Struthio camelus: one gene and its partners. The protein of the gene in region 1 interacts with the protein of each later gene in a pairwise test. Links are inferred from orthologs where the notes say so. Each region holds a gene or a part of one and is shown on either strand. Other genes may lie near its edges. The genes, in order: MAD1L1, BAG5, TEX11 and USP15.

Region 1 (7,279 bases):
CGCCGTCCCTCAGGGGCGCCTTGGTCGGGGCGCCTTAACCTGGCCGGGCCGCTGCTCTTCTCCTCAGCTCTGCCTTCGGTGTTGGTGGTTCATAAGGGCTGCTGCACATTGGGTGAACGTTGCTATAAGGCTTAAACGCGAAAGCCGGGGTGGAAACAGGGAGCTGTTAGGAAGGGGATCGTCCTTCCCCCTACCTGCTTTGTTCAGGGAATGGCGTATGAGGCCTTGATCCAGAACGAGGCTTTTTTTGTTGTAACTGGAACCGATAACTAAAGATGCTGCGAATGGCCAGGATTCCAGTGCCTGAACTGGAGGCTGCTGGAGAGCGTGGTTATAAACGGGAGCAGACGTAATCGGGGTTAGAAATAGTTCCTGCGGAGAGCTCTGAAATACACTGTGGTGATGTGCTAGTCGGTTAACTCGCCTCTCTTCCCGGGTAGCGGCCGGAGTTTGGTGAGCCTATCCCTGCGGTGCCGATGCTTCCACGCTGCGGTGGCGCTCCTGAAGAGAAAGACTGGAGCAGATCACCAGTGGCTGGAGCGGCATTTGAAGGACCCCTTTGTCAAGGCAACGAAGCAGCAGAATTACCGCTGCCGAAGTGCCTTCAAATTACTGGAGATAGATGACAAGCTTCACATCCTCCGTCCAGGACTTTCTGTGCTTGACTGTGGAGCGGCGCCTGGCGCTTGGAGTCAGGTTGCTGTAGAGAGGGTCAATGCCTTGGGTACTGGTAAGTGCACACGCGCTGGCACCTGAGATGGAGGTAACGCTCGTTTTGAAGTGTGTGGGAAAGCTCAACTGTGCTGATGGCGGAGCGGGGAAGGTACGTGGGTACAGACTGTCGCCACAGCCACTGATAGAAATTTCAAGTAGCAAAGAACTCAAGATTCCTGGCCCCAGGGTGATAGTAAAGAAGCGTAATTCTTCATATGGTCTGGAGAAATCATATCTATGAAATTAAACCCTGGGATGAGGTGCTGCTATAAGACTAGCTAAGTCTTCTGCTTAGCTGAGTTGGAGGAAGTTACTATATAAAAGGCTAATGAAAAGGCTGGGTGAGATCCCCTCTTCATCTGCCTCTGAAATTCATGTGGCCTCCAGCGGGTAACTTACTAAATTTTTGTTTCCTTTCTTGAATAACGGCAGTAACCACTACATACAGCTTATGTGATTTAGGCCACTAATATTTATAAGATAAAGTATTATCGTCTGTATTATTGTCCAGAATTTTTGGACTGCCAGCCTCGAAAAAATCGACAGAAAAAAACCAACAAAAATACCTCTTGCGTATCTGGAATAACTGCCTTTTAATGTTTTGTATGGAGTAGCCTATAGCAAACCGTCTATCCAGATATGTGCAGCAAACTCTTTATGGAAGGACAGGGAGACCGTGTTTGGCTGCTGATACGTTTTTGTGTATTGAATATCATGGAGCTCAGGTATATGCAAGTTGCTTGTAGCCCTTATATCATAAGAGCGATCAGTGTGTCATTCATTCTGACGACAACTCTTTGTTTTCTAGATCCTACTGTCCCTACTGGTTTTGTCCTTGGAATTGACCTTCTGCGTATTTCCCCACTGGACGGAGCAGTCTTCCTGTCAGAGACTGATATTACAGACCCAAGCACGCTTAGGACAATTCACAGTCTGCTTCCTGCAGAGAAGGTGGATGTTATCTTGAGTGATATGGCACCTAATGCAACAGGCATCAAAGAACTGGACCATCAAAAGTTGATCAGCTTATGTTTAGGCCTTCTGAATCTGTCGCAAAGCCTTTTAAAGCCAAAAGGAACTCTGCTCTGTAAATTCTGGGATGGACAGGACTCCCGCCTTCTTCAAGGCAGACTGAAGGAGCAGTTTCAAGACGTGAGAACTGTAAAGCCTCAGGCTAGCCGGAAGGACTCTGCTGAATCTTATTACTTGGCAAGACTGTACAAAGGGAAATGAAAGCTGAGAATTGCAGATTATCGAACTGGTGATCAGACACTGATTGGAAATCTTTACTTGGCAGGTATTTAAAAAAAAAAAAAAAAAGGCAGGCATGAAGACCTCCAACATCAACTGTCACATTGTTGAGAACAACCTGGGAGAATATACTGCAATTCTTAGGAAGTACATCATGCTTTTCAAGTACAAAAGTAAAACCAGGATGGTGCCCTGCTGAGTTTATCCACTAATTATACGAGCAGAGACATCCAATTTAGCTTCTCACCTGTGGAGAAAACTGTTGGGAATGAAGAGGAATAATCTGAAAGGCAACCTCTGGGGCTGGAGTAATGGAAATAAAAATAAAACAGTGATTACAGGTTTTTTTTTTTTTTTTAATGCGTGTGCTTGAAAATCATTGCACTACTACTGCTGTCATATTGGAGACTAACCGTAAAGGCAGTTTCCAAAATGAGAGGGGACAACAAGGGGAGTGTGAGCCAATTTATTTCTTCTCTGTCTTTCTTAAAAGCTGGTACAATTTCTTAGCACGCTTAAAAATAGATAACACTCTTGTGCATGTCAGAGTCTGCGTTGTCACATACAATCTATAATGCAGACGTTCAGAACGTATGACTCCGGCTCTGGGATATTGCAAAGCTTGGTGGCTTTGCTGCATTAGCTAAAGACACGTGTTATATTTAGAAATTGTTACTTCATTGTACTCATAAATCCAGTAAACGACAGAGGCTCATCACAGTTGAGAAAATAATTTTTCCCTATATCTTCAGTAATGCTTCATGTTTCACTAGTGATGTTTGTTAGGTAAAATGGCGAGATGTTCCTTGGATCCCAGATAGGTAAAATTACTGGTTGAATTGTAGAGTTCTATTTGCAAAAATAAACATAGCTACTATCTTATCTGGAAGTGACAGCTTTTACATTAAATAGGTCTTTTATCAAACTCTGTGAGGCATGAGTTACAGGAGGGGCTGGTAGCACTGCCTGTTTTTAAGGCTTCCAGATATTTCTCATTATAGACACCTCATTTTCAATGGCTTAAAATATATCAAATTTTAACTAGTTTGTCTGAAACTTTCAATTCTGGATCTCTCTACTTCAACAGTATGCCTGGAAGTGTTAGCCAAACAGCCTAAACTAGGAAGCTGGATGTTGATTTGCGTATGTTTGGGGGGAACAATTATGGCAGTCTGCTATTTGAAAACTTTGTTACCCTGTGATTTGGTAGCAACTACAACTGAGCAGGATGTTTCTATTAACCATGTGCTGTTTACTTTTGTTGCTCTGACTGCGGTTGCGGGAGGGGAGGATGAATTCTGACTGAACAGGAGTGTTGAAAGCCTGTCCGTGGGACAGGGTGAGAAGAGGGAGGAGAAGGGCGGCCAAAGTGGTGCTGGAAATGAGGCTGGATGCTAGAGAGGCTGTAAGGAGGGAAAGAAAGAGCAAACGGGACAAGGCCTAGAGTTTGGGGGGAGCCTGGAGGTAACAAGGACAACGTGAGGAACGCAGAAGTCTGGCGGAGCTGGCGTTGCAAACGGACAGCCGCAGGGAGGCCGAGCTTGGAAGATGCGGGCGGGAGTCCATCGTGGGAGGGCCAGCTACAACCCCTTCTCCGTGACGGTATTTCCCCTCTGAACTGGGAACGGAGCCCTGCTGCTAGACTGATTGTCTCCCTCTGCGAAACCCACGGGCAAAGCCTGTGTCTTGCTGATGTTTAGTGCCTGGAGCATCTAACCTACATAGCGCGGACTCTGGGGAAAGGATGAAAACAGAGGCCGCATGCCTCAAAGCGGGCCCCCGGGACTGCTGGCTTTTTGCTGTTACCTGCCTTTTCTTTTCCCTGTAAAATGAGGTTGATACTTAAACTTATGATCACAATAGCCCCATGGGATGAGCTTTCGCAGTTTTCTTTTAATCCCCATAGATCTCTATTTTACTGATACTTTAAAAGTGAGCGATGAGAATCTAAGAAACAGCCGGAGCAGCTCAGTTTTCTGGAGGGTTTGCTAAGGGCAGCAGCAGCTGATCAGAGCTAACGCTCCCCTTTATCTTTCCCAGGATTTTGCTTTTTTCACTCCGCAGCACCGGCACGTGCGTGGGCTTGGCGAGAGGCAGGTCCTGGCCTAAGGGCAGAGGGGACGGGGCAGCGTTTTGGGCAGCCGGGGGCAGAGCGAGCGCCGCATGTTATGGGGCAGCGGAGCCGTGCTGGGGCGCGCCGGCCGGACATTACGGTAGGCGGCGCTGCTGCGCGCACGCACTCGCAGCATTACGGCGGCCGCGGGCGCTCTTCTCGCGGGAGCTGGGCGCGAGTTCCCGTGAGATCTCGGCGGCGGGGCGAGGAGGGAGATCCAAGCGGCGGCGCGCGCCGCCGGCTGTGGCGGGTGAGTCCGGCCCGGCCCGGCCCGCGGCTCCCGCCCCGCCGCCCCTCGCGCCGTCCCCGTGTCTCCGTCCCCGTCCCTGTCCCCGTCCCCCCCGGCAGCCCCCGGGGCTCCCCGCCGGGCCGACGCCGGGGCCGGGCAGCGCGGCGCGGCCTGCCGGCCGGCCGGAGCCTGTGGTGAAGGGCGAGTTGGTCTTCCCAGTCCCCTTGTTTTCTCCGGATCCGTTTGTTTCCCGAACGGGCTCGCTGGAGCCCGGTTACCTGTTGGCACTGGTCTCTTTTGGATTTACTGGTGTCTGGTACTGAAGCCCTTACTTCGAATAAACGTTGTCGTTTGGTTTTTCCAGCTGGTCTGTTGTTAGTGTGCTTCTCCTTCCCCCCACCCCCCCACCCCCCTTTTCGTGGTGCTGTAAATTGTTAAGTGCTGCGCTGTGCTGCTCACGCACGAGCCTGGAGGTTGTCCCAGCGCTGTGTCCTGTGCAGATGTTGTGTTTTGGGGTTCCTGGTTCTGGGACTGCGTGAGGTGTAAATCCCTGCAGGCTCCTGAGGTCTCCTGAGAGCAGCTTACAGGCTTCTTTGAGCTCCACGCTTGACTTATCTTTGGCCTTCTAACAACGCTTTGAGGGGAGAATTTCAAGTCTGTGCGTGAACGAGAGCCCAAAATTTCACTTTTGAAAGTGACCTTAGAACCTGGGAAGTCTCGTCATTGAAAGTTAGGTTCCAGAGTGACTTTTGGAAACCAGGATCAGGTTCGTAGCTGTGTACAAGGTAGAGTTTGCTCTATGGGTTTAGGTCTTTTCCTACCCCCGGCCTTACAGTGTGTCGAGGAAGAGTAGCAAGGGTTCGGTTTGTTGGTGTTACGTGCTGTGGACCTCCCCTGGCACAATGTTAACTTGTACCCCAGCTTTATTCTGATCATATAGCAAGGGAGAATTCAGTCTTGCGTAACTTATGACACCTCTTGTTTGTATATTTATGGGCTGAGACTCAGGGGAAAATGTATTTAAATACAAAATGTACAATTTCAGGTGGAGAACTAAGGGGAGAGAGGTTCTCTTGCATCAGTCTCTCATCTTCAGCCTCAGTTGGATAGTGTTTTCTGGTTCACACTGATCCCAGCAGTAATCTGTGAATCTCAGCAGTCACTAACAGTTTGGGTTTTGTATGCTGTAAATAGGAAGATCTTGCCTTCAGTGTTACCCAGGGCAGTGTGTCTCTTGTTAGAAGAGCAGCCAGTAGACACTAGGTTGCTCTGAATGTTTTGCTGATAACTTTCTGTGTATTTGCAGAGCCATGGAGGACTTGGAAAACAATACTACTGTCTTCTCCACCCTGAGGTCTCTCAACAACTTCATTGCACAGCGTGTGGAGGGGGTGTCTGGGCTGGCTACGCCAGGATCATCGCAAAGCTCTTTGCAAATGCAGTACCAGCAGAGGGTGCAGGTGAGGTATCCTCCTCTTGCTGATACCTGCAGCATCACCTCACTATGAATGTAGACTCCTTTTGATTCTGTGTGATTCAAGATCGTTTGCATTAAGACCTGACCGTTCTTTCTAAAATTGCTATTTATGCATGCTCAGTAATGGAGAAGTTTGCTTTGGGTGAACATTCTTTAAGTTTTTTTTAAGTGTTAGCCTTATGTGTATTTCTGTCTTGTGAAAATTTAAGGAAAGTCCTTTGAATTTCTTCCTCACTGATTATATCAGTATACCAGCTCAGAAAATTAAATTGTAAGTTGCTTTCAGTCTGCTGCTTAACAGGTGTATTTCCAGTAAGTTATCTTGTTTACCATTTTTCACCACCCTCTTTAAAATTTCTTTGCCTTGATGCATATAGGAGACTTGCACTAGTGCCATGGCTTCGATATGCCAACGAGTTTTGCTACCTTATCCTCTTCTATTCAAATCCATTGATTGTTGTGACTTTTTCCTGTAAGCTGCCTTTCTGATTTTGTTTTGCTTTGTGTTCATAAGACATCTAGTAGGATGACATCTTGGACTCTATATTAGGGACTCTATATTAGACTCAGAAACATTTCTGCAGTCTATATCTTGATATAAGTTCTATTTAAATTCCTAAGTATACAATAAGGTGGTGGTTGTTTATTTTTTTTTTTTTTAATGTAAATCTCCTTTGCATTGAGGTTGCTGACAAAAATTTGTGTGTTTTCTGTCTGTAGTACTTCTCTGGTTACAGAGCCTTCGCTAGATATATGGTGATCGTATATTGCTTAGAAGTGAGGTGTTCTATTAATATTATAAGTGCTTTAAAATAATTTTGTACGAAGCATTCAGTCATATAGATAAAAAATATATTGTAACAGGTTGTAGAAAAACATGCTATTTTGCTCAACAATTACATTTCATGGGAAAAATGAGCTCTGCTTCTTGGTTAGTTGCTGTTACTTTTATAAAGCTTGGGGGATTTGGAATTAACCCTCTTTTAGGTAGAGAAGTGTGTTTTGTCAGATAGAGGGCCTCTAGAATTTGGATGAGAAATTCTTAGTGAGGAATTTAAAATTCACTTGTTTGTAACTAACATTAATTTGACGTGGGTTTCTGAGCATGTTGTCGAACTCTTAGCCTTAGCTTCCCAATCCGCAGCTTGTTTGGGAAGACGTAAGTGAGGTGATAGTTCCCTTGTAATTTTGTAAAATACTATGCAAGTGTCAGCTGGATAGTATGGGTTGCAGTGCTATTAATGATGTGTAATATCCCTCTTCACATATGAACTGGCCAGTTGGAAGAACAAGCTGGGCAGATCCATTCCAAATCTCAGCTCCTGCAGGTGGAACGAGAGAAGATGCAGATGGAGCTTAGCCACAAAAGAGCTCGCATTGAGCTAGAGAAGGCAGCTAATACTAATGCCAGGAACTATGAGGTAAGTACAACAGCTGCTGATGGTTTGATATCATAGGCCTCAGTCAGAACATATGTAGTACATCTATGTTAGTG
Region 2 (7,987 bases), on another chromosome or scaffold:
ATATATGCCACAGGTCTTTTCCAAGTCATGCTTGAAGCCACACCTGACCGATATGAAATACATAATACACATTTAAATCATTAGGGACACCTCTATAGCTACCTAATTTTACAAAAATAATTCTGAAATGCTCATTCATTTCAGCGTGACTTCTATTTTTACCAAATGTGAAAAAGACTAGTCAAAAGCAAATCTAACAGCAGAGTTTAAAAAGACCCTAAGTAGCCACTAAAGAAAGTTCAGTGCATTTTTCAGGGGTTTATGGAGAGCAGTATGAAACCCTACAAATCCCATTTATCTAATCAGTGTATGTGCACAGATTTTCCTCTCCAAGTCTCATTTACCTCAAAGCAAGAATTTGAGGGAAGTTTCCACCAACAGAAGGAAAAAACCCTGCATTTGCAAACAGAACGGGTCAGATATTACAAAAACAGACCTAATTGGCTTTGCCTATGTAAATGCTAATTTGCAGTTGGCATTATAGTTCTGCTAGGTAAGAAATCTAAACACCCATAAAGGTATGCTGGATGGAATAAATCAAGTATGACTCAAAAGCCAGCAGTTTTTTGCATTTAATACTTTCCATCATAACAGCACATTAAGAGTATATCCAGACTGCTATGAACTTGCTGGATAGATCCTCATGCTTAAGCGCTAATTTTTATGCCCAGTCTTCTTGAAGTAGTTCTGCCAGTCCTATACCATAAGGCAGTTTCTGCACCTTTGAAAAAGCTGCACTCTCTAAACATTGCACAAGATTATCACAACAAAAACAGGGAAAAAAGCCCATTCGACCAGGTATTAAGCCATTCCTTCAGAGGATCACATTTCTTTGCTTGACAGCAATGACCAGAATTGCTGATGGTGTACTGACAGTTGCCATGGCAAGTGGGTGAGCGCGTGGGATAGCAGACATATAGCCAAGTCAACTTCTTATGCAATTGCCATGATTTAAGCAAACATACAACACATCACTTTTAATCACGTGCTGCCAATTGAACTATCAGTCTGCAGAAAGCACCAAAGGGGAAAAAAAAAGGTATTTTCTGTTAGACTATGGCTGTTTCAGTACTCCCATTCATCTGTTTTCATATCCAGATAGTAAAGAATGTTCTGTGCAAGCTTCACTGCTTGCTTTCTGGCAGCCTTAACCCGCTCATCACCTTGTGGATCAACAGCATCGAGTGCTAGAAGTTGCTTTGTAAGAAGCTCTTCCAGTCTCATGTAATTTTTATCCATTCTGTTTCCATCAAATGAAATCACTTCCTGCTGAATTTGAGACAAGTTTCCAAGAACGCCCCAAACTGCTTTATGAGATTGATGTTCAGCAGCAGTTTGCTCAGGATACATTTGCCTTTTTTCAAGCGCTTCCTTTAAATCAATATACGTTATCAGAGTCTGCACTTCTATTACTGCTCTTCTCCTGGCTTCTCTAATACAGGGGTTTTTCCCTGGACTGACTTCATCTAATTGGGCAATTAATCCTTGCAGTTCTGCCTTGGATCCCAAATACAAGTCAGAAGCATTCTCTGTTTTTAAAAGTAAAGAATTAACTTCCTTCATTTTCTTGCGGATTTCTTCTATTTTTAGAATGGACTGATTTTGTGCCAGGTCATAAGCATGAGTAGAATTTGCTTCCTCCTCCAAGTCCAGATATTTCTGCAGTTTATTGATCTCTTCGACTACTTCCTTTCTGTAGTTCCTTATTTCTGTGCGACCACAGACATCTAAAGCATCCAAATCAGCAATCAAGCCTGTGAGCACGCAGGATAAATGCCTGCAGGTATCATTGCTATTAACTCCCATTAGAAGTGCAATAAGAGTTCCTCTAGCTTTGTTCACATCACACATTACAGAGTTAATTTTGGAGACAGAAGGATGTGCATCATTAGAGAGTGGTAGGGACAGCTGTTGCTTTACACAGCTTTCTATAATCTCCTGAACAGCGCATACTTTCGTCAGAGTGCGATATCTTGCTTTGCGTAAAGAAATTTTCCCTCCAGTTTTCACCTGAGTAAGCCTCAATATAACGTCCTGAATACCTTCTTCAAATTCATCACTTATACAGTTGCCTCCTTTGTAAAAAGGTGTAATCTCACGTTCCACAAGCAACTGTGCTTCCTTGAATATAGCCTCTATTTCCAGTCTGTGGGGATGGTTTGCATTTTGTTCCAGTTCCTTGAGTAGCCTCTCCGTTTCCTGAGCCGCACGCTTTCTGGCTTGCTGAATATCTCCTTTTCCTTCAGTATCTACGGAATCTATTTCAAAAAGCTGTTTAGTAAGAGTCCTTTCTAGTCTCTTATAATCTTTGTCAGTAGACAAGCCACTGAAGATGACAACTTGTTGTTCGATCTCTTTGACTTCTTTCTGTATTTCATGCAACCGTTTTATGGATGGATGTTGGTTGCCCATATCCATTCTCCTCTTTCTTCCAGTTTCAGATGAACTACAAAGAAAGTCAGGAAAAGACGTACGATTAATAAAACGCTATGCGGGCATTTCGTTCCGTGGCGGCCTGAGACACCTCAGCAGGGCAGCTACTTAAATCCCTCTATCAAGAGGAGTTAAAAACAAAAACAAAACCGTGTCCGGTACTCTGCAGCCGTTCCTCTGTTCTTTCACACCTCCGGCCGCGGCGGGGGGAAGCCGAGGGATGCCACAACAAGCTCGGGGCGTTTACCGGAGAAGTTCAGCCTTGCCCTCGCGGCCGGCTCTGGGCGACAGGGCAGGGCGGCAGCGCGCCGCAGACCCGCTCTCGCCGCGCCGCGCCCCCGGCCGCCGCCCGCCGCCTCCAGCCGGCACAGGCCCCGCAGGGCCTCCCCCCGGCGCCGCCGCCTCAGGCCGCGCCGCCCCCGGCCGCGGCGCCCCGAGCCGGGGCGGAGGGCGGCCAGGCGGCGCCCGCAGATCACAATGGGCCGCTGCTGCGCCAGCCCCCGGCCCGCGGCGGCGGCGGCGGCACCCGAAGGGGGTCTCCCACCCGCCGCCGGGCCCGCGGCGCACAGCGCAGCAGACCCGCCCGCCCGCCCGCTCGCTCCGCCGCCGCCGCCGCCTCCCTGCCCGCAGGCCCGGCCCGGCCGCCTCACCTGTCTCGCCCGCCGGCCCGCTGTCCCGGCGCTGCGCCACGGGCCGAGCGGCAGCCGAGGGCCGCACGCTCCGCTCCGCTCCGCCCCGCCCCGCTCCGCCCCGCTCGGCTCCGCCAGCCCCCGGCCGCGGGGCGCTCAGCGCCGGCGGTTCCCTGAGCGCCGTAAAGCGGCGATGGCCGCGACCGTTAGGGCGGCGGCGGGCGCGCGGCGCCTGACGGGGGACGTTGGGTGCCGCTGCCTCTCCTCGGCCGGCGGCGGCGGCGGCGGCGGGACGGCGGCTGAGCGGCCGGAGAGCGGGGTAAAGCCGTGCGGGGGGCAGCTCGAGGCCGGGCCCGGTGCCGCGGGGGCAGCCGGCGGGACGGGACGGGACAGGGCGCGGGCGGCGGCCCACTCGGCTCGACCCGGCCGGGCCCGGCTCCTCCCGGCTGCGGGGACAGAGCTGAGGCCGCGGGCAGGGTCTCCTGCCGGGGGAGCGCCGGTAAGGTAAGCAAGCAAAAGAGCAGGATTTGGGGCTTATCTTAATTACTGTTATTTATCATGATTCCTATCTGTCGGAAGAGTTAAAGGTATCTTTTCTGTAATTCATCTCCAAACGTGAGTGAGTCATGAGCGTATGACAGTTTTCAGTCAACATGAATGAATGTGCATGACTTCTGACCTTGCTGCGTGTTTTAAGGTTATATCCAGTCGTGTGGAGTTGCGGGATTTGTTTCACATCAGGCTCTTCCGCAGAAATTGCGCTAAAGTGGTGATAATCCTTCTGTATGTATTTTTAAGGGATCGGGTTTCTGCCCTCCAGCACATTCTTGTAACGATTGGATTGGCCCGCCCGACAAGTACTCAAATCTCCGACCAGTAATCTTCTATGTTCCCCAAAATGAATCCCTGCTGGAGCGCCGGCTCAGGGAGCTCAGAGAGGAAACCCAGGCTTGGAACCAGCGGTTCTGGGCACGCCAGAACGTGTCCTTCCAGCAGGTGAGCGGGCAGGGGAGGGCTGCGCCGCGCGCCGCTGCCCAGCCCCCGCAGCCTTTGGGGTGCTGGCCCTCTGCAAGCAAAGGCGTTCCTGTTCTCCGTTAAAAGGATTTGATGACTGCGCAGTAGGATGACCTTGAGCGATGATTCCTGCGTTATATGGCTATCCCAAATAGCCAAGTTCACAAAATTATGATTTTTCCCTTCACAAACTAGCATTAAATTCTGCCTTCAGTTACTTATCTCTTGCTTTTAATTGCTACTACAGCTTCTTTTAATAAGTTCACTGTCTTTGGGGAAATTCCTTTTTGTCATTAATTTTATTCTCAATGTTAGTTTGTTTAAAATGACCTACAAAACTGAAGAGCTTATGTATTTTACTGCTGTTTAGTGTATAAAAGGATATTTGCTTTTTCTTTTTTCTATTTTGCACTGAAAAGGTAAAGTTGTAACCACCTTTACATGCAAGACCTGTAATATTTGACTAGAGCTGCTTTTGAAAATGATTCTGCAGCTTTTTTTGCTCTACCGTAAGTGAGAAAAGTATAGGTAAGACCACTGAGGGTAAATGAGGGATGTGCGCTCTTGCACTGGCAATGTACCCCTAACAAGGCGAAAAGGGGGGACGTTTTCAGTCTTGGTCTTTCTTTTAAACATTGTACCATGGGTAAGGACACACCAAATTCTGTTGGAAGACTAGCAACAGTCCAGTAATTCACCATCACTTGTGATGGTCTTCGATCATTGTATTGTCCCCAGACTTGCAAAGGTCTTGGAGTAAGTGGAGCATGCTTTTTTTTTTTTTTTTTTCCCCCCTTAATTAGCTAGAACTGCTTTTTAAATTTGAAAATTTGAAATACTAATAGTTATTCTTTTTCCATCTAAGTAATTTCAGTTTTCTAAGGTTGCACATTTTCCTGTATACTAAAATTCTAAAATAAGTAACACAGCAAGTCTTCATAATTTGTCTTTTGTAAAACTTTGCAAGATTTGGATCCTGCAAAACAATACTTAAGCTCAGCTATAACTTTACTTCCACAAATAAGTTGCGTATGTTTCAGCAGGACACTTGCATGAATTAATTGATGCACACAGTTAACATCGAAGCAACACAATTATCAGTGTAATTAAGTCACTGGATTCAGGAAAATGTTTTTTTGACATCTCCAAGTGCAATGAGTACTGTGTATATTTTGGAGGGTATTAAGCGCAAAGCTGGCATGTGATTAAAATCAATGGTTAACTTCAAGGACTGAGTACGTTAAGTTCTAATGTGGAAAAACATATTTTAGGAAAAAGAAGAATTTATTTATTCAAGACTGAAAGCCAAGGGTCTGAAAATGAGAGATGAAACAGGTCAGTGACATCTTTTTTTGTAGTTTAGGATGTGCTCTGAAATCTGTTTAATTTTTATTTTTGCCTGTTTATGCTCCTTTCAGGAGTCTAACAGAGAAGGAGGGGAGCTCTTGAAAGCTGTGCAGGTCAGATCTGCACAACTTCCCCCCTACCCTTCCACTGGAAGGAATGTGCTGAAATCCTAGCAAAGTAATTTCATCATTCTGTACCCTTAAGGGGGAAGGTTTTTTTTTTTCCTTTCACAGCTCATCGCCCCAGTGAACTAGCTGAGCCAAACATATACTGTTTGCCCCAAGCGCATGTTACGGTTGAGTGGATAGATTCACACTGTTCAGCCTCGGGTCGATAATATGTACAATGAACATGTTATTTTTCCTTGAGGGAGAATGAGCTTCCGAGGAGACAGCAGCTGCTCTTTGCCCTTCTTTGCCTGAGGACAGTTACTGTAAAATGTTTCCCTCTCTAACTCATTACATGAAATTGAAAACAAGAGGCCTTCGTAATACAGCGAGTTGGCCGTTGTAACATGAGGTTGAACGTTTTGTTCATAGAGTAAAGATCTGTTTTGGTTTGATAGAAAACCTGCTCTGATGTTCAGTATTTCACAGACCGTTGTGTTGCACTTTTATTTGTGTCCCAGTGATCACTTTGTAGTGGAGAAAGCATTGTAATTAAATTACATGTTATTAAGAAAAAGTTTATTTTATATTGCTGATTTGTTCTTTTAGGTTTTTATATCCTAGAAGTAAAAGAGAAGATAGTAAATTTGTACATTCCTTAAAAATAAAATTGCATTCAGTGCAAATGTTTGAGTAATTGGTTTTGTTCTACGCCATGGCCCTGCTGATGGGTGATGCTGGAGCAAAATTGTTGCTATCCACAGTCTACTTGTTTGGAAATTTTCACTGAAATCACAAGACACGTGTGTGTGTATCTCTCTTGGTAATAACCTATACGTATGTGCAGTTGGAACAATGGTTATTTCTCGTATATACACGAAGACTCGGTTAGTTCTGCTGATACCAGAATGAAGAAACAAATTAACTGTAGCTGTTAAGCAGGCAGCTTTCAAATGGTCTTACGATAAGTTTACCTCATGGAATGTTAATCCATTGTAATATTTTAAATTTGTAAATATTGACAGATAGTCGTGATCAATAATTTACCTTCTGATGATAAATCTCAGGAGCTTTAAATTCATTTTGAAACGCTAACAAGCTGAATCTCTCGATTCTGTCTCCCTCATCATATCTGAATGTCCCAGGGGATAGGGATTTGATGCTCGTTTTGGAAATATCAAAAGCGCCAGAAAGTTTATATAGGAAATATCTGGTCAGAATATCATCTGGTCCTCTGGATGCTTCTTCTGTGCTGTAGCCACACATTTTCCTTTCATGATCTGTGGAGAGAATCCATCTTCTCTTATATTCTGCATTATATGAGTGGCATATTCAGATTTTTTTTTTATATTTGTGTGTGTGCGTGTGTGTATATATATATTTTATTCAGGGATATGTTTCAGGTCCTGTCTTGAACTTACTTTTCCACAAGAGACTTGTCCACCCTATTGTTAATAAATCTGACAGCCCAGAGCAGATAATCTTTCATATGAGTTACTTGAAATTTACCAAAGGCAGCAGAAAGAATTGTACCATCAAATCAAAGTTTCAAGAGGATCAGCATTTTTAATCTGCTCTGCTCCCTAGATAGATTTTTAAAAAAATAGGGAGATAGAAGCATATTAACTTGTCTAGGGATACACAGGAAGCCTGTAGGAACAAGCAACCCGAACTAGCTTTCCTGAGTCTGCACCCAGTGTTTTAATCACAAGAGCTATCTTGACAACGTTATGCTAAAACTTATTTTCAGGTCAAAAAGCAACGCTGAATGCAGAAGAAATGGCTGACTTCTACAAGGACTTCTTAAGTAAAAATTTTAGAAAGCATATGCATTACAACAGGTATGTAGATGATTTTCTTGCTGAATATTATATTACTGTCTAAGTGAAGGGCATAACATCAAATAGAAAAATCAAACATTTTTTGCCATAGTTGTTAAAATAGCATCTAAAGCTATCATTTTAGAATTTGCAGAAAAATTTGAAAAAACGCTATTAGCATTTGACATGAACTTAGGCATAGTCATTTGAGTTCTTCCACTATGTATGTTTGATTTTATGGAAAGGTAGATGTTACGTCACTCTTTCCAGAGACTTTAGTGAGACAAAATCAGGCAGCGCTCTATTCCTAAACATGCCTGCCCTTGTTTTAAAATCAGGTAGTGCCAGCTGCATCATTGCAGTTACAAAGTGTAACTGCACAGCCTTGAAAACAGCGGAGTTTATTGTAGACGTTTTGACTTTTGAGGAGTCATATTTAAAAAAAAAAAAAAAATCCGTTTATGCCTTTGTCTCTATGTTCTCCTCTATTGTTGCCAGCTGGCCTGAAAACTGTGGCTGCGGAAGTGTTGAAATTTCTAAAATTTAGTTAAATTGAGAGAATGACTGTGCATAGACTGCTTGAATACATGTTTTAGAGTATTTAGACTGGAAACACTGTTAGAAAAAACAGAATACA
Region 3 (8,205 bases), on another chromosome or scaffold:
TGAGGAGGCAGCCACATGCTTGCTGCTAAGCCGTACTGAATTCTTCTTAGGTCTCATCGGGTCTCTAGGTTTGTTGGCTGCGCTGCCCGGCTTGGCACTGCCTCCGCTCTGTGAGGACAAAGGGTTTTCTCTTCTAACAGGACCTTTGTGTGCTGATGAAAGGTGCCTGAAAGGCAGCCCTGGAGCCCGAGTCCTGCAGGCCCAGAGCGTGCCACAGCAAGGAGCCTGGCCAGGGTGGGAGGGGTTGCTCCAAGATGCTGTCAGTTGCTGCTGCCTGATCACACTCGGGGCAAGGACACCCCTTCTGACCGATAGAGGGTGGTGTGATGTGGGTACCCCTATGCTGTAGCACGGGCCCAGACCGTGCTTGTAAACTTGTAAGCTTGTAAACTTTCTCATTGATTTTTTGGCTCTTTGGGATTGTATCCTAGAGGAAAGGGACTTTGGCATTTACTGCAGCTGTAGTATTTCAGATGAATCGTTTTAGGTGAATACATGCATCTGAATAAAAGGTAACACAAATCTCTCTTTGCAAAGGCCATGTATGAAAGGGGAATGGTGCATAGCTTGCCAGCCTTGGTTTGGGACTTGCTGAAGGAGATATTCTTTCACTAGACTGAAATGAGTGGGACAGGGAGACCTCTGTGTAAAGCTGAAATCTTAGTATTTTACAGCAACAGACTGATGCCTTCTCCAGTAATAAACTAGTCCAAGCACCCGTTCAGATCAAACAGACTTCCACATGTTCCGTCATGTACATAGGACTGAGACCCCCAACAGGAGGAGCAAGTTGAAGGCTTGCCTTATATATCCCTACTCAAGGGACTTTTGCCAATCCAGCAGCGTAATGGCAGATCTCTCTCCCCGTCTTCCTCACATTTTCTCTTTTCCTTGCTACGTTTGCCTAAGAAATATTCTCTCCGTAATTCATATCCTTCACAAAGCACCTCTCACTGATGCTGCTTTGCCAGGCTGGACAGGGGACTGCATATATTTTTCCCTCTTAAGTCAACTTCCTGCTCCTTCTCGCTGCATCTCAGGGGCATCTCGCTGTATCACAGGTTTGTCAACTTGTGTTGTTTCTTAGATTTGCTGAAGGCTTAACATGCAGGTCCTTCAAAACCTGTGACAGTTGTACAGATGCAGCAACCTGACTTGCATAAACAAGCAGGTAGGAGACATTTCAAAAAATTAAATGCAATCCCCCCACCTCAGCTGTCAATGTCAAGACTCCAGGCTAACTCGAGCATTCAAGTAAGTTAAATTGTATGCCTAGTCTGTACATGAGTAGGCAACAGAACAGACAGCATTATCTTGAATAAGATAACGTGAGAGAAATTGTGACTACAGGTTATTGGCCTGGGAGCAGCTGTTATTATTTGCATAATACAAAACCAATTTACAGTCAGAGTTTAACTTGTGCAATGGAATTGGCTGAACCGAGAAGTGCTCGGGGGCGGATCGGAAAGGGTTTTTGGTTCCTCCATAGTCCCTTGTTCAGACCCTAGGCAGAAGTTAAGAGTGTCAGCTCTGGTCTTTATACCTCTCACATAAGGGGAAGAAAGCTTGCTGAAAACACAGGGAAAGGAGTTCCTGGTTCCTTCACCTCTGAAGTGCACACTGGGCCTTTGTATTGCTTTTCAGATTCTGGAACTAACTGCGGTAACAGGAGAGAGAAAGATTTCCTAGAATCTCCTGGTGTGAAACATAAGAACTTGCCTTATTGAGAGCAGCTGTACACTTTTTATAAGCAACTTCCTTCTGATTTCAGCCAGCAGCTATTGCAAAGCACAACAGGAAAGCTAGGAGGAAAAGCTAGTACCAAGAGAGAGGCCAAGAGAAAGACAGCAAGACTCATTTGTGCTCCCTTTTAGTCTTTCTGTTCATGACTTTAAAATGCTAATGGGGCACGCTCCCCAGCTCCTGTCATACCGCTAATGGTTTTGATGCACAAACTGCAGCAGGTACAGGACTCACTGTTTATTTAAAAAATTAAAAGAAATTTAACAAAATCACGCCGAACAGTGAGGATCTGAAAAGCCAGGCAGCACTGGGGTCATCACAAAAAGAAAGGCTCTGCAGGCCTGACCAAGCCAAGGGTTAGATGTGCAGACAAGCACCTCCAAGTGGACAGTAAGACCTTGTTTCACTTCTCTCATCTAAACAGCAATACTGTTTTTTAAGCAGACTGAGATTGTAAATTAGAGATCTGAAACTCTGGTGCATCTCTACAAGGTGCCCAGATACCTGGAGGGCTTTGATGTGGGTAAACTTCCCAGAAGTTCCATTTGAGAGCGACCATGGCTGCAGCCAGCCTGGAGGAAGCCAACCGCTCAGCTGCAACGTGAAGAGTATGTCCTGGCACAAGGTCAGCGTGACACGCTGCACTTCTTCTTACCCAGAATCCTGCAGAGCTGTCCGTTTTTTCCCTTGTTGTCCTGTATCAGCACAGAACATCCTCTCTAGCCCAGAAGGAAGGGGGGATGAACACATGTATATCCACAGTCTAAGGAGAGTCCCCTTTTGCTGGAACTTGGATTTCACTCCCTACCCCAATCCAAAATGCAAGTACAGGGCTAGCTCTGGAAGGACAGAGCCCTCTATGAGCTAGAGCCCATGAGGCGTTTAATAGATTGCAGGCTGATGGTTTGCCTTCTGCATCTGAATGATCTTGCCAAAGCCGCCTCTTCCCACATCGTAGTCTGTCCGGTACTCATCTCGCACCTGGGGCACAGCAGTAACACGCGTTAGTACCCTGTACTGCCTATCTCCCAGTAGACTTCAGAATCATCATCCCTTCCTTGCTGCACTGGTGGGGAACTGAAATTTGGGTTACAAGTTCTTTGACTTGTTCAAAATCTCTTTAAAGAATCCACCAAAAAATTACTGGTGGTAGTGAAAACAACAAACAAGGATACAACAGATTGCTAAAGGTCTTTTTAAACAAAAAACAAAGAAGATCCAAAAATATTCTAATTCAACTTTGCAGTTAGCTTTCTGAATCAACAGAAACATTTACCCCTCCTCCCCGCCACCCTCCAGGAAATCTGCAAAGGAATCTCACCTTCTCACTGGGGCATGCTGCTGGATTATGAGATTGGCCTAGCAACTACACTGCCCCCCCCCCCCCCCAAATTTCAAATTCTGCATCATTTTAGGAGTACTAGCTCAGGAATAAGGCAAATTCTGTTTGCAGAGCCAGAAAGATTGGAGTCCCAGCCAGAAACTGCCTTAAGCTCTACTTAGAGCTGTAAACGCCAGGGTAGCTCAGTTATCAAAACCACCAGGGAGTGTCTAAAATTCACTATTGGGTCTTCATTATCTGCACTTTATCTTGAATAAGACAAAACTGGCAAAGCAGCACCCAACTTTAAGGAAAACAGGTTCAGGGTCTGAACTAGTGTTCTCTTTACCTGTCCTCCAGTCTTTCCTCTCCCATACTGTCGCCCTTCCTTAAATCCTGCATCCCAGTCAGTTCGAATGATGCGGTCATCTAGTCTGGTGCCATTGATAAATCGCATTGCGTGTTCAGCATCTGCTCTTGTGTAGTATCTGAAACATACTGTAAGGAAAACTAAACGTGCTATTTTGTTGGCTGCAGGGGGGGGGAAGAGAGAACTATTGTATTTGAGAAACAGAGGAATCCTGCCTTCCAGCCTAAAACACTGCTCTTTTTTATGGCATCAAAAGCTACCTTCATATAAATGCAAGCTGAAAACAGCCCCAATTCCTTCCTAAGATGCTACACTTTAATGTGAGTACCTGTACAGACAAGAAGTAGTTTTGGATCACTTATTTCAGAAGTAGATGAAACAAATGTGTTAAAGCTTTGCTACAGGCAAGAACGCTGTAATATGCCTTTTTATAGCATATGAAACTTGACTGAATTTGAATAAGATGAGCAGGCCTCCCAGGAGAGCTTTGCAAAGGCAGCTCACAGTACAACTTGTACAAGCGTGTACCCTGTGCTCGGGAGTAGTGCCATGGATTATTCTACTAGTTCATTCAGGTGTGAAGTTAGGGTGAGAAAATGAACATGTGCTCTTAATTTTCACCACACAACAGGTCTGACTGGTGATTTCTTTTTGGGCCCTAAAATCTGCTAAATGAATGAATGAAAGGTGCTCTCTGCTGCCTCCCAAAAATACAGAAGTGACAGTACTTTTCACTTACGGTCCTGCAGTAAGACCTGCCTCTGAACGAGGGCAGAGGGGAAAAAAAAGCAGAGAGGACACAAGAAATGTGCTTGACAGCCAGAAGGATGGAAGGATCGACAGGGAGAACCTGAGTTTTGCTCCCTCTTTCAAGTTTTGCGCGCTTGCTTCCCAGAGAGGGACTAGGGGTGGCACCCACAAGCCAGCTGGCAGTAGCAGGGAAGCAGGGAGGATACTCTACGAAGCAGAAGCCGCAGGGAGTTTTCTTGATCTTGTCCAGCCCCATGACAATCCTCTTGACGTCCCCGCACTTGGAGAAAAGCTCCTGGATCTGCTCCTCGGTGGTGTAGAAGGACAGGTTGCCCACGTACAGCGTGGAGGAAATTTTGAGGGATTTCTCCTGCAGCTGCCTGCTACCCTGAGGGCAGAGACGAGCACACAGCGGGGTGAGCTATACCACCACAGTCCCGGGGCTCCGGGGGGCACCTCCGCCGGGCCCGGGGACACGGTGCCCGCCCGCCCGCCCGCCCGCCCGCACACCGGCCTGCCCCGGTACCCGGTGCCTCCCTCCACGGCCCCGTCGCCCCTCAGGCCCCAACCCCATCCCGGTGCCTCCCCCGGCCTCAGGCCCCGCTGCCTCCGTCGACGCTCCCCGCTGCCGCCTCAGGCCCCGCCGCCCCTCCCCCCTCTTCAGCGCCTCAGGCCCCGCCGCCGCCGCGCGCGCGCGCTCCGGTGCCGCACCCGGAAGTGCTGGTCGCGGTACTGGCTGATCTCGCAGTAGGAGTCGCTGTTGAGCCCGCTCAGCGTGGTGTGGAGCAGCCCCGACATCTCGCCCGCGCCCGGCCGGGCCCTGCTGCCGGGATCCTTCCAGAACCGGCGCGGAGCCCACCGGACAGCAAGCGGGCGGGCCGCCCACCGCGCTCCGCCTCATTGGCGCCGGCGCTTGCCACTCGGGGTCGGGAGGCGGGGCGGCCGCGCCGGGCAGCCAATCGGTGGGGCGCTGAGCTCCTGGCGGCGGCGGCGGCGGCGGCGCGGTAGTGGTGGTGGGAATGCGCATGCGCGGCGGCGGCGGCGATGGCGATGGCGGCGGCGTGCGGTGTGGCAGGTACCGCCCGCCGCGGGAGGGACCCGGCTCCGCTGCCGGCCGCTGCCCTACACCCGCCTCTCGGCCTTGTCTTGCAGGGCTGGTCCGCGAGCTGCTGAGCGAGGAGGCGCCGTCGCGCATCGCCGCCGCCACCGAGGAGCTCTTCCAGGCGGCGGGCAGCGTCGCGGCCGAGGAGGGCGGCGCGGCCGAGGTAGCGCCGCGCCGTCGCCCTGAGGGAGCGGCCGGGCCGCGCTGAGGCGACGCCGCGCGCCTCGTCCCGCCCGTGGGCGGCGGGGCGGGAAGTTCCCCCCCCCCCCCGAAGTCAGTTGCGCCACCGCCGAGGAGGCCGGGGCCAAGGGTTCAGTCCCGCGTGGGGAGGCGTGTTCGTGATGTCCACGCCGGTGTTTCGGTCTTCCAGTTCATGCCTCGTTATAAACTTGAGTGCAAACCCGCCTTAGGCATCCGTGGGTGCTTAAGGACGTCGCGCTGGCTCAAAACAGAGGTCTGTCCCACCCTGCTTGTGGCTTCCAGTACTGTTAGCAGCTGCCTGGGGAAGGGAGAAAACAAGCATGTAGCTTTACTTGCCTGGTAAACCCAATACATAAGCTCTGAGGTTATTCTATTTTCGTGTATTTGAACAGTGATCCAATTCGCTTGCATAATGCTTTTGGTTTTAGATTTTTTTTCCTCCTCTAGTCAGGCCTTGTGCTGGACTGCTTATGAATAAAGTAGTAAAATTCTACTTGAAGAGAAAGTTCTGCTTTGACAGAAACTGTGTGCAAAAGAATTCTGATGAGAAGTGTATGAATCTGGAACAAAAACAAGAATAGCTGAGATTTTGTCCAACTTGTTCCTCCAAAATTATATGCTGAGGGGAAATTTCATAGTGACTATCCCATAAGGCAGACAATAGTTCTGAAAGTCCTAAATCTGTGACGAGGAGCAAGGTGGGCTGGCAAGCGTCACAACCGGGAATATTTTCCGTGCTCTCTGTAAAGAAATACGTTTGCATAAAACCAGTAGCCTTCAGTTCTTCCTGTTGGGCTAAATGATTTTTAAAGAAAGGAGAAATCGTTATCTTGTAGTTTGTTCTCTTCAGTAAAAGGAGCCATAAAATTTTGCTATTTGATTCTTGTATGAAGCCCAAAGTTCTTAGTTAAGCAAGAGCATATTTTCAGAAAGACATTTGATTCGGATTTTATGATCCGAAGTGGTTGAAAATACTGGCTTAGGGTTGTTCAAGCAGCTTACTGCCTTCGTGTACGACTCTGTCATCTTTTTAACATCAATGCCTAGCCAGTAGCCTTTGTTCTTTGCTAGTATCAGAATTTTCCCTGTATAGGTATTTACAATAACTAAAGTACTTAATTTCCTTTTTAGGAGGCAAAAGAAGTACTATAAATGTTTGCAAACCTGATACAATTCTTAGAGCTCCTTTCTGAACCCTTCTAATTTTTCAATATCTGTTTAAAGTGTACATACTGTATTCTGAAAGCTGCCAGTGAATCAGCTGTGTCTTGGACAGTGATGTGCTATTGCACAATTTTTGCATGTATTTTTGTGAGAAAACGTCATTCCAGATGGATAGGCTAAGGTAGGTCATATTTTGATAAGTTTGGAAAAGGATTTGACAGAAACATATATTAGGACCCTGGAACAACATGACAGATGAATGGAATTTGTTTAGGAACATATTTTAATGAAACCAAACAAAGGACTGGGAATGTGTCTGAAGTCCACCACTTCACTTACAGAATTCGTTGTGCGCAATTTCAAATTAGAGCTGAAGTCACTGATGGATGACGTGACATGCGTGTGGGTACTGCTATCTGCCTTATGATTAATTAGTTCTTTTTAGTTTCAGGTCATGTCTGCCTTTGGTTTACAGTCATTTTCTTTCTTACCTTGCTTCATCTTAGAAATACTCTCAAATGTTTAGAAGCTGTGAAATAGTCTTTTCTAAGACTAAAGTCTAAAGACTAAGTGTATCTTATGAAAGACGCTTATGAAAAGAATACGTGAGTCCTGCCAAATGCTTGTAAGTTTTCTGAAATGGCTGATCCATTGAAAAGAAGCTACTTTTAGCTCAAGAAAGCCCATGTGACCTATTCAGCATGCCTGTTTTCAGGTTACTGTCCCAGATCTCTCTGTGGAGACAGTCAGATCAGGTAATAGTTTCACAGTAATCTCACATGTGTGAGCCTACTGTAAAAGGAAGTTACACAGACGTGCGCACAGGTCATTAACATGACATACATGAAAGATGATTCTTTTTCCAGTAGTACATTTCAGCGTGATCCAAATTGAGGCAAAGATTAAATCTAATGGAATTCTCCCTCTCAGGTCGAAGAGAGTGCAATAAACCTGTGGAATTGGGCTGTGACCAAACACACGGGTTCTGTCATCAATGATGAGCAAAGAGCTAAATGTATGTATGTGTTCTGTATCTCCCTAAACGTTTTTGTGTGCTGTAACGTGGAAGGGAAAAACTCTGCTGACAGATACATATATAACGCTGTGGATTTGTTTGGATCTTTGTAGATAAGATGTAGACAGAGAAAATTGTACAGATGGGCTATAGAAACGGTTCAGGAAGGATCATCCTGGTGTAATAATGATCTTGTGGCACAGAATCAGTGTAGGAATTCTTATCACTCCCCGTTCCTGTGCCAGAGCATCCGTAAAAGCGTGATGTGACCAAAGGAAGCTGTAATTTGCCTTCTAATGCTGTTTTTAATCTGAAATTTTATGGAAATGATATTGGTGTAAATTTTAGACTGTAAGTCACTAAATTGATGTCAAGTAAGAAAGGTACTTTAAATAAACGCTCTCATCAATGACTACATGCAGAAAAGCTTTAAATTATTCTTTTTGCTAGCTTGCTTTAGCCCAGCACACAGCTAATGGCTTTGCCTCGAACCAGGAGCAAGCTTGGGGGAAAGTGGAAGGGAGCTTTTGATCTTTTTC
Region 4 (7,521 bases), on another chromosome or scaffold:
ATTCCCTTCACTTGCCAAGGATCAGTGGTATTTCAAAATACTGAAAAGTAACCATATCAGATCTGATGAGATATAAAACCAAATACAGCATTTCTTCTGTTCCAGAACAGAATCAAAGGTACTTTCAGGCAGAGAACAAGAAGGTGTTTTTGGACAATACTGCAAAAAGAAAGAATTAAGAAAATATATAATTCAAGTTCTGTGAAAGGCCAGTATGGTTTATAATGTTGAATTCACTAGTACTAGTAAGGTTGTGCCCTGGAAAAGCTTAATTTTGATGTTTAATTAACATACCTGTTTAGAAGAAAAAGGGTGAGATGGAAGAATCCTCAGTCTCTCCTACTTCAACCTTTTAATTTATTAACTGTCTATAACAATAGGAGTTTAAAAATGCAGTAAAGGCCACTCCAGATGAACTAGCCCAAAATCTTGTCTCCGAGGACAAAATAGTCAAAGGACACTCACCTTGCCCATCCATTGGGGCAATACTTTTTCATCTCTACTACGCCCAAGCTATTCTTACAAACACCCTATGAAACAAATTCTGCAGCTTAATCAATTGTACAACTGTTTCACTATTCTACCAATTCTTAGCTAACATCTAACTTTAAAAATGTTGCATTTAAAGTTAGCTTCATTTCCTGCTCTCTGCAGCGAACGTGAAGAACTAATGAAGAGTTCATTGTCCTCATTACAGATAATAAACGATTTGCCTCTCTTTGTCCTATTCTTCGGTTTTCTCTTTTACTAATGGAAAACCCCAAAGCTTGATACTTTCTTTATATAGCTTATTGCTTTCCTCTAAACTCTAAATTCTGAATAACTGAGACAAAACTTTCAGTACAAGCTGCTAATCTTAGAAGGATTGTATTTTACATACAGTGCTTTAAGGCCCAATCAAAACAAGCTGCTCATTGAATTGTTATATATCATTGTTCACATTCTTTTTCAGCAATACTAACTACTGAATGAATGAAACTGCAATTTTGAATCATGACTTACAGTGCTTTAACTATTACATTTCCTTATTGACCCCATCCCCTCAAAATCAAAAAGCTATTACCAAAACATCTCTGAATAACATATCTGGACTAAATATATTCTTCAACTTGTGAAATCTTAAATACATAGCTCTAAGTACTACCCTACGAATGAACATGTACACACATTTTTGTTTCTAGATTTACTAGGGGAAGAGTCAAAGTTATTAAGACTTTATCATAGCTTTTTCAGCCTTAAAACATCCAATTAATATTAGAATATGAGATTAATATTAGACAACAATCACAGCTAAATATACTTAATACAAATATACTAAATATACTTAATTGGGGAAATAAGCTTCCAAACGAGTATATTTGATTTTTACATATGTTAAAATGTTTAATGTACTAAAAATGTAGCTCAAGAAACCTACTGTTTTTAGTCGTTATGTAAACAGTCATAAAGTTATTTTCATTTTGAATAATATTAACCATTTGAGAAATCTTTCAGTACTTGGAAAGTACCCAACAGACTCATAAAAGAAAAATCTCTTAAAATAAAACATTTCAAGTCCAAGCAGCCTTGTACTACCACTGGTCATTTTCAACATCACCATGTGAATTGATTTCCTTTTTCTAGTTGCTTATACTTCTCAGTTTAAGAGCAGCCTGTTCTTATGCCAAAAAGTGAACGTATACTCGGCAGTACTTGAATAATGCATCAGAATATATGTATGGCTCTGACACATGCTGCAGTATCAACACTGTTAAATATAGTCTTTTATAGAACTGGAACAGTGAGTGATGACAGCTGAAATGAGGTGGGCAAGTTCTACTTTTGTGTATTTGTAACTTAATTTTCTGTAAGTTTGTGTTTTAGCCTTTGTATTTAGGTGATCATTTCACAAGGGAAAAGATGAAGAGGTTGAGCGGTGGAAAAAACATCAGTTCCTTTTTCTGTTGTCTTAAAAAAAAAAAAATTGCTTCCTAGCCTCAAAGAACTCAATCACAGAAGCTCAATTAACCAAGCACATCTAGAAAGAGATGCTCGTTTAACCTGCCTAATGCTTTTCAACCACGGATTATTCTGTTGGCAATCCGCATGGCATACTAAGAAATATTTTGTCACTGGTCAAAAAAACATATATTTTTAGATGCTTGCTGCAGAACACGCGTTCCTAGGGGCCTGGCGGCACCTTCGGGGAAGGCTTCTTTTATGCAGTTAACACGGCCACAGTGAAAATGAAGTTTCCAATTGAGGCCTACCGCAGCCGAGCACGGGCTTCACCGCGACACCCCTACGCTATAGATATGATTCTTGGCAACTCGGAAGGTGACGCCAGAGCCGTTTCCTCCCTTTAGCCTGGCGGACGGCAGAACCGCCCGGCAGCGGAGCGCTCCTCCCGCCGCCTTTCTCCCCGCGAGGCCGAGCAGGCGCCCCGCGGCCCCCGGGCCCCTCATTGTCCTCGGCCGCCATCCGGCTCCGGCACCGCCGCTCCCTGCTCTTCCCTCCCCCGCCGCTCGGCGCCGCCAAGGAGCCGACCTCGGCGCCTGCCCCCGGCCGGGAGGGAGGTGCTGCCCCCTCCTTCCCCCCGCCCTGTCATCCGCCTCCCACGGAGCACGCAGGAGGCCGGGCCGCGGCCAGCGCGGAGGGAAGGAGGTCGGTCCCTCCGCCAGTCCGGCGGCACCGGGGGCGGAGGGAGCCGCCCGCGTCCATCCATTCGGGTCCCCCGGCCCTTCCCTCACCAGGTGTCGCCCTTGCGGAGGGCGGTTTTGAGCAGCGCCGCGATGTCCGTGCGCTGGGTCTCCAGATCCGCCGCGCCTCCCTCCGCCATCTTCTCCCCCCGGCAGCAGCAGCAGCAGCGGCGGCGGCGGCAGCGGCAGCAGCAGGGGCAGGAGCGGGCCGCGCTGCATGCTGGGAGTGACGCCGACCAGGGAGACGCCCTCGCCCCCCCCTCCCTTCCCACAATCCGCAGGGCGGGGAGCCGAACCCGCCGCAGCCGCTGCTGCCGCGGCCTTTGCTGCCCCCCTAGCGGCCGGGAGGTCTCTCATGTCACCGCGCGGCAAGCAGCGCGCATGCGCGCAGCCTCCCCCCCCCCTCTCTCTCTCTGTCTCTCTCCCTCCCCCCCCCGCCGCAGGGTGGCAGGGGGCGTGGGGAGCCAGGGCGCTCGGCGGGACGGGGCCGCTGCCGGCTCCCGCCGCTTCTGTCCTCTCAGGCAGGTCCTCCTCGGAGCGGAGGGGAGGGGAGCCCGGGGCCGTGGGACGATGACTCAGCACGGCTATAGCCTGACGGGAGGGGGGAGGGGAACGACCCCGACCGAAAGCCTGGCTCCCTGCCTGGCGTTGAGCCCTGCCCGCTCGCCCGGCCCCGCCCCCTCCGCCCGGCTCCCCCGCAGGCCCCACCCCCTCCGCCCTGTACCCCCGGGCCCCGCCCCCTCCGCCCGGCTCCCCCGCAGGCCCCGCCCCCTCCGCCCGGCTCCCCCGCAGGCCCCGCCCCCTCCGCCCGGTTCCCCCGCGGGCCCCGCCCCCTCCGCCCGGTTCCCCGCAGGCCCCGCCCCCTCCGCTCGGCTCTCCCGCAGGCCCCGCCCCTCGGCGCTGCCCCGCGGGGCTTGCGCGGGCGCGGGGCGTCCGCTTGGTGCCGCAGTGGTGCTGGTGCAGCAGCGTGCTGGTTGTGGCGTCCGCGTCCTTCCCGTTCCCGTTTCAGCCTTGGGAGACCATATTTCAAAATGGGTCTGAAGGAGGGTTTTGGTGGAGACCATACTTTTGGAAGGAAGAACTAGTGTGACGCTTCCTGTTAGCGTTTTAATTTAAACAGAGATATAATGAGATGTTGGACACCTAGCTAGCAAATGAGTGATTTGGATTCCGCCAATGATACAGTCTCTATTATTGTGCAAACACTGTTGGGAGTGTAAATATGCTGTGTGACATGCATGAATATTCCCAAACCTGTACAGAAACCAAGGGATAATTTACTGGGTCTGTTTCCGTCTTGCCAAAACCTGATGCTTGTACAAGCAGCGCAACGGGACATACGATATCCGACCAAAAGCTGCGTGAGTCCATGGGTTACATCACATTAGCAGAATTCTCCCCTTTCTACCTTCCTACTTGTATACAGATTTCACCAAATCAAAATTGTATAGAAGACTGTGCTGGGGGGGTGGCAAGTGCTGATTGCAAACAGCGGAAAACAAAATTTGATTTTGTAGATCTATCTGGTATATCTATAAAACATGCAATTGTATGTCCAGCCCCTTCCTCCACCCAAATCATTACACTGTGCTGAATTGTATGACTAACACTAGAAAGGTATCATAGGCTGCCACTCATATTATAAGCTATTAGGCATTATTAGCTATTAGCTAATTGTCACTAATGAGCTAATAGCATGTAGTTGTTATAAATAGCACTGAAGATTATTCTTTAGATACAGATACATCAAAAAAGAGAATAGAATTAAGGCTATTAAATGCAGCCAGGAGAGTACCAAACTAAGTAAATTGCCTGCATTATCAGCAAAGACGATGATGTTGAAATAAAGGCAAAGCCAGGATTTGTATTTGGAAAGGGCACATGGAAGTCATGTCCAAAGTAGAAGAAGAGCTCCTAAGAGCTTGGAGGGGCCAGCCGATCACATTCATAGCTTCTGTAAGCATGGAATATGCAATCCCAGGCTGAGGGGCAAGCGAGTCAAAGATATCTGTTATGTGGAGAGTTGTATTATATGGAGAACTGTGGATCTGCTGGCTATGCTTAATGAGACGGAAGAGTGAACCGGGCAATGACAAGAAGGTTTCCAGCCATTGAATGAATAAATGTCAGGGTTAGAACCTCACAACGTGGGAGGAAGAATTTGTGAGCCCCCTCCCCCCCCCTCGCCCCCCATCCAGTCTTGACAACTAAAACCAGTATTATAAACAGTGAAAATCATCCGTATGTACCAATGTTAAATTTTTGCAAAAATTGCATTTTCTTGGAAAATTGGAGGAAAACATTTCTTGATTCACTATGCTGGAAAACAGCTTTATTGTTCAGTAGTCTGTAATAAGACCAAGAGCCACTTGGCTCTTGGAGCCACGTGTGCCTCTACTTTTTGGGTTTCATGATTGCAGTTACTAGGTGAAAGATCTCCTGTTCCTGAATTCAGTTTGTTCATGGTTCAGAAACAGATACTAGACAGATACTAGGTATTAAAGGAACTAGACAGAAAGGAGTATAATGTGCTATCTGAATCAGAGCTTTGCTTAAGGATTGTAAAGGAGAGACAAGAATAACTAAGTCTCCTTCTGGGATTGTCAGTGCTTCACAAGAAGTAGCTATGCCTTTCACACTAAAACAGCATATAATCTTCCTAAGCTTCAGGAAACCTTTCCGCTATGCAAAATTCTTGAAAACTGCCAGAGAGTGTTAAATCTGTATTTTTAGTAAAGCTTTCTGAGTTTCCAAGTACATCTACCCTAGAGAGTGCCTGGGGATCTTTGCATTTTAAACCACTGGATACACTGAAACAGCACTGATACTGATGAACTGCCTCCTGCCTTCTCTGATGAAAAACAAGCTTTTGTGATATAGATTTACATCTTACTAATTTTGATATAATTGAATTCAGGATACTGTTAATCTAGGCGAGAAACGTGGCTGACTTTCCAGTAATCATTGGGCCTGCATTGTTACCTGATTTCATTGCTATCTGATGAATACTTGTAAACATGTTGCATTGTTTTTCTAAACATTGATCCTAAAAAAAAGGGAAACAATTAATCCAATATGTAGCTGCTCAGACATTCGGCAAACGGGCTTCAGATAACAAACCATGTAAGCTGAGGAGTCTATTGATTCCCAATACAGCACAAAGTTTACGCTCTCCGTTCTTGTCTTCAAGTCAGTTAGTGGACTCGGATAAAGAAACTTACGGCTTCTTCTTTTGGGATATGAGCATCTCTGCTTCTCACTGGGAAAGCTTGTGTACGCAGTAGATTCTGTGGAAGTGACCGACAACTGTAAGTCTCACCTCGGAGGTACTGTAGACCAATTTACTTCTCCACTTTTTTCTTTTCTTCCTAAACCTCCTACAGCGTAGTTGTGAGTTTATGGAGGAGAAAAATAGGGTTTCAGGTTCCCTTCCCCAAAGGCCTGGCAAACACCCCGGCCCTATGGTAGGGTTACAGCTAGCGTGGCTCTGTGAATTTCCTATTCAGTTTGAAGCTGAGTCAGACATGAAGCCCGACATACCAGCATGAATACAGATGGATACATGTTTTACATATAGCATTCACACATATAGGCAAGAAAACACTGGTAATTTCACTTTTGGGTGACAAATCTGATGGAAACTCTTTTAAAGCTAATCTTACTAGCTTAATGTGTTTTTACATGTTTAAAGGGGAGTGAAAGATTATCAATTATCAGTTCCCACCGTTGCTCTTTTTGTTCCATGTCTTACTTTTTTGGGATGTATGGGAGTTGCCTTAAAATAATGATAAAATTATAAGCTTCTTTGAAGTAGTTCAATAACAAAACAAGAAAGCAGAAATCACAAGAGACTGGAGTTATATAATGGGAAGATACAGCAGGGCACTTACAAGGCAAACTTAGACATGGGAACAAAAAATCAGTACTTATGAAACCTGCGGAAATCCACGGTAGCATGGATGGACCGATGGTAAGAAGCAGATGAGAATATGCTTTTTTTTTTTTTAAGGAATAAAGAAGAGTGGGATAAATTTGAAAGACAGAATGTGGGGAAATAATTTGTAATTAAGATACCCATTTCTGTCCAGACAGTAAAACCAAGACTGCATTCTAGTTTTTGAATAGTATTTATCCTAATCCACTCTATGCTTGGTTAATGCTTTCCTAATTCACATAGGCTGAATGCAACAATGCTAAATCCTTGTATGAGTTAGGTGGAATTGCAATTTCTAGCTGTTATTGCAATAGCACACTATCTTTCCTTGAGACAAGAAAATGCCCCCAGATTTTAAAATTTGATAGTTCTTTATTTAGTTGATTTACTCAAACTATTACTTTCTTACCACGTTTTCAGTAGCTATTATTACCAAAAGGATTTTTTCAAATGAGAGAACAAGGGTTTAGACTGATGGAGATGTGACTATTATTTTTTTAATTCATGTAACATGGAGTATTCAGTCTTATCTTCATGCACTTAATCTAGTACCATAGCATCCTTAGAAGAATTAAATTGGAAAGTTCGTAGATGAGAATATAGGGGAATGAAGATAAAGAAAAGTCCAGTGGGACCAACTAAGGGTGTCCCAGAAGTTTTTCTGATATAATGACAGTAGAAGAAACACTAGTATTTTCCCATTATTCTAGTTCAGAATTTTTAAATAGTGGGAAGTATTCTTTTTATTTGTTTTTATAATTTTCCAGCAAATTACTTCTTAATAGAGTATACAAACAATTAAAGAAATAATAAGCTGAATATGACATGCAGTAATATTAAAATAATTTTCTAATTAGTTTTATGAATGTAGTTATTATCTTTTTATTGGTTACCCCTCTGTTTAATTGG

What was found.
Region 2: the proteins of MAD1L1 (region 1) and BAG5 interact in binary tests that used the Homo sapiens proteins (3 or more experiments, as listed by UniProt). The two-hybrid records come from large-scale screens. The link is inferred for Struthio camelus from reciprocal best matches to the Homo sapiens genes MAD1L1 and BAG5.
Region 3: the proteins of MAD1L1 (region 1) and TEX11 interact in a two-hybrid assay, tested with the Homo sapiens proteins (2 studies listed by BioGRID and IntAct). The two-hybrid records come from large-scale screens. The link is inferred for Struthio camelus from reciprocal best matches to the Homo sapiens genes MAD1L1 and TEX11.
Region 4: the proteins of MAD1L1 (region 1) and USP15 interact in binary tests that used the Homo sapiens proteins (3 or more experiments, as listed by UniProt). The two-hybrid records come from large-scale screens. The link is inferred for Struthio camelus from reciprocal best matches to the Homo sapiens genes MAD1L1 and USP15.

The regions. Positions count from the first base shown.
Region 1 is NC_090956.1:6,271,683-6,278,961, forward strand, and holds the start of MAD1L1 (mitotic spindle assembly checkpoint protein MAD1), read left to right. Parts: upstream 1-4,230; 5' UTR 4,231-4,328; intron 4,329-4,495; exon of another isoform or gene 4,496-4,623; intron 4,624-5,613; 5' UTR 5,614-5,617; coding exon 5,618-5,767; intron 5,768-7,064; coding exon 7,065-7,205; intron 7,206-7,279. Other genes in the region: MRM2 (rRNA methyltransferase 2, mitochondrial), read left to right, coding at 441-730, 1,523-1,947. UniProt on the Homo sapiens protein: Component of the spindle-assembly checkpoint that prevents the onset of anaphase until all chromosomes are properly aligned at the metaphase plate.
Region 2 is NC_090946.1:72,466,017-72,474,003, forward strand, and holds the start of BAG5 (BAG family molecular chaperone regulator 5), read right to left. Parts: upstream 3,177-7,987; 5' UTR 3,084-3,176; intron 2,447-3,083; 5' UTR 2,419-2,446; coding exon 1,066-2,418; 3' UTR 1-1,065. Other genes in the region: COA8 (cytochrome c oxidase assembly factor 8), read left to right, coding at 3,256-3,381, 3,861-4,058, 5,348-5,411, 7,281-7,371. UniProt on the Homo sapiens protein: Co-chaperone for HSP/HSP70 proteins. It functions as a nucleotide-exchange factor promoting the release of ADP from HSP70, thereby activating HSP70-mediated protein refolding.
Region 3 is NC_090952.1:25,538,691-25,546,895, reverse strand, and holds the start of TEX11 (testis-expressed protein 11), read left to right. Parts: upstream 1-5,146; 5' UTR 5,147-5,203; coding exon of another isoform or gene 5,204-5,228; coding exon 5,229-5,259; coding exon of another isoform or gene 5,260-5,336; coding exon 5,337-5,449; intron 5,450-7,581; coding exon 7,582-7,666; intron 7,667-8,205. Other genes in the region: nuclear cap-binding protein subunit 2, read right to left, coding at 2,626-2,724, 3,414-3,552, 4,391-4,572, 4,896-4,982. UniProt on the Homo sapiens protein: Regulator of crossing-over during meiosis. Involved in initiation and/or maintenance of chromosome synapsis and formation of crossovers.
Region 4 is NC_090942.1:37,751,983-37,759,503, reverse strand, and holds the start of USP15 (ubiquitin carboxyl-terminal hydrolase 15), read right to left. Parts: upstream 3,218-7,521; 5' UTR 2,819-3,217; coding exon 2,730-2,818; intron 1-2,729. UniProt on the Homo sapiens protein: Hydrolase that removes conjugated ubiquitin from target proteins and regulates various pathways such as the TGF-beta receptor signaling, NF-kappa-B and RNF41/NRDP1-PRKN pathways.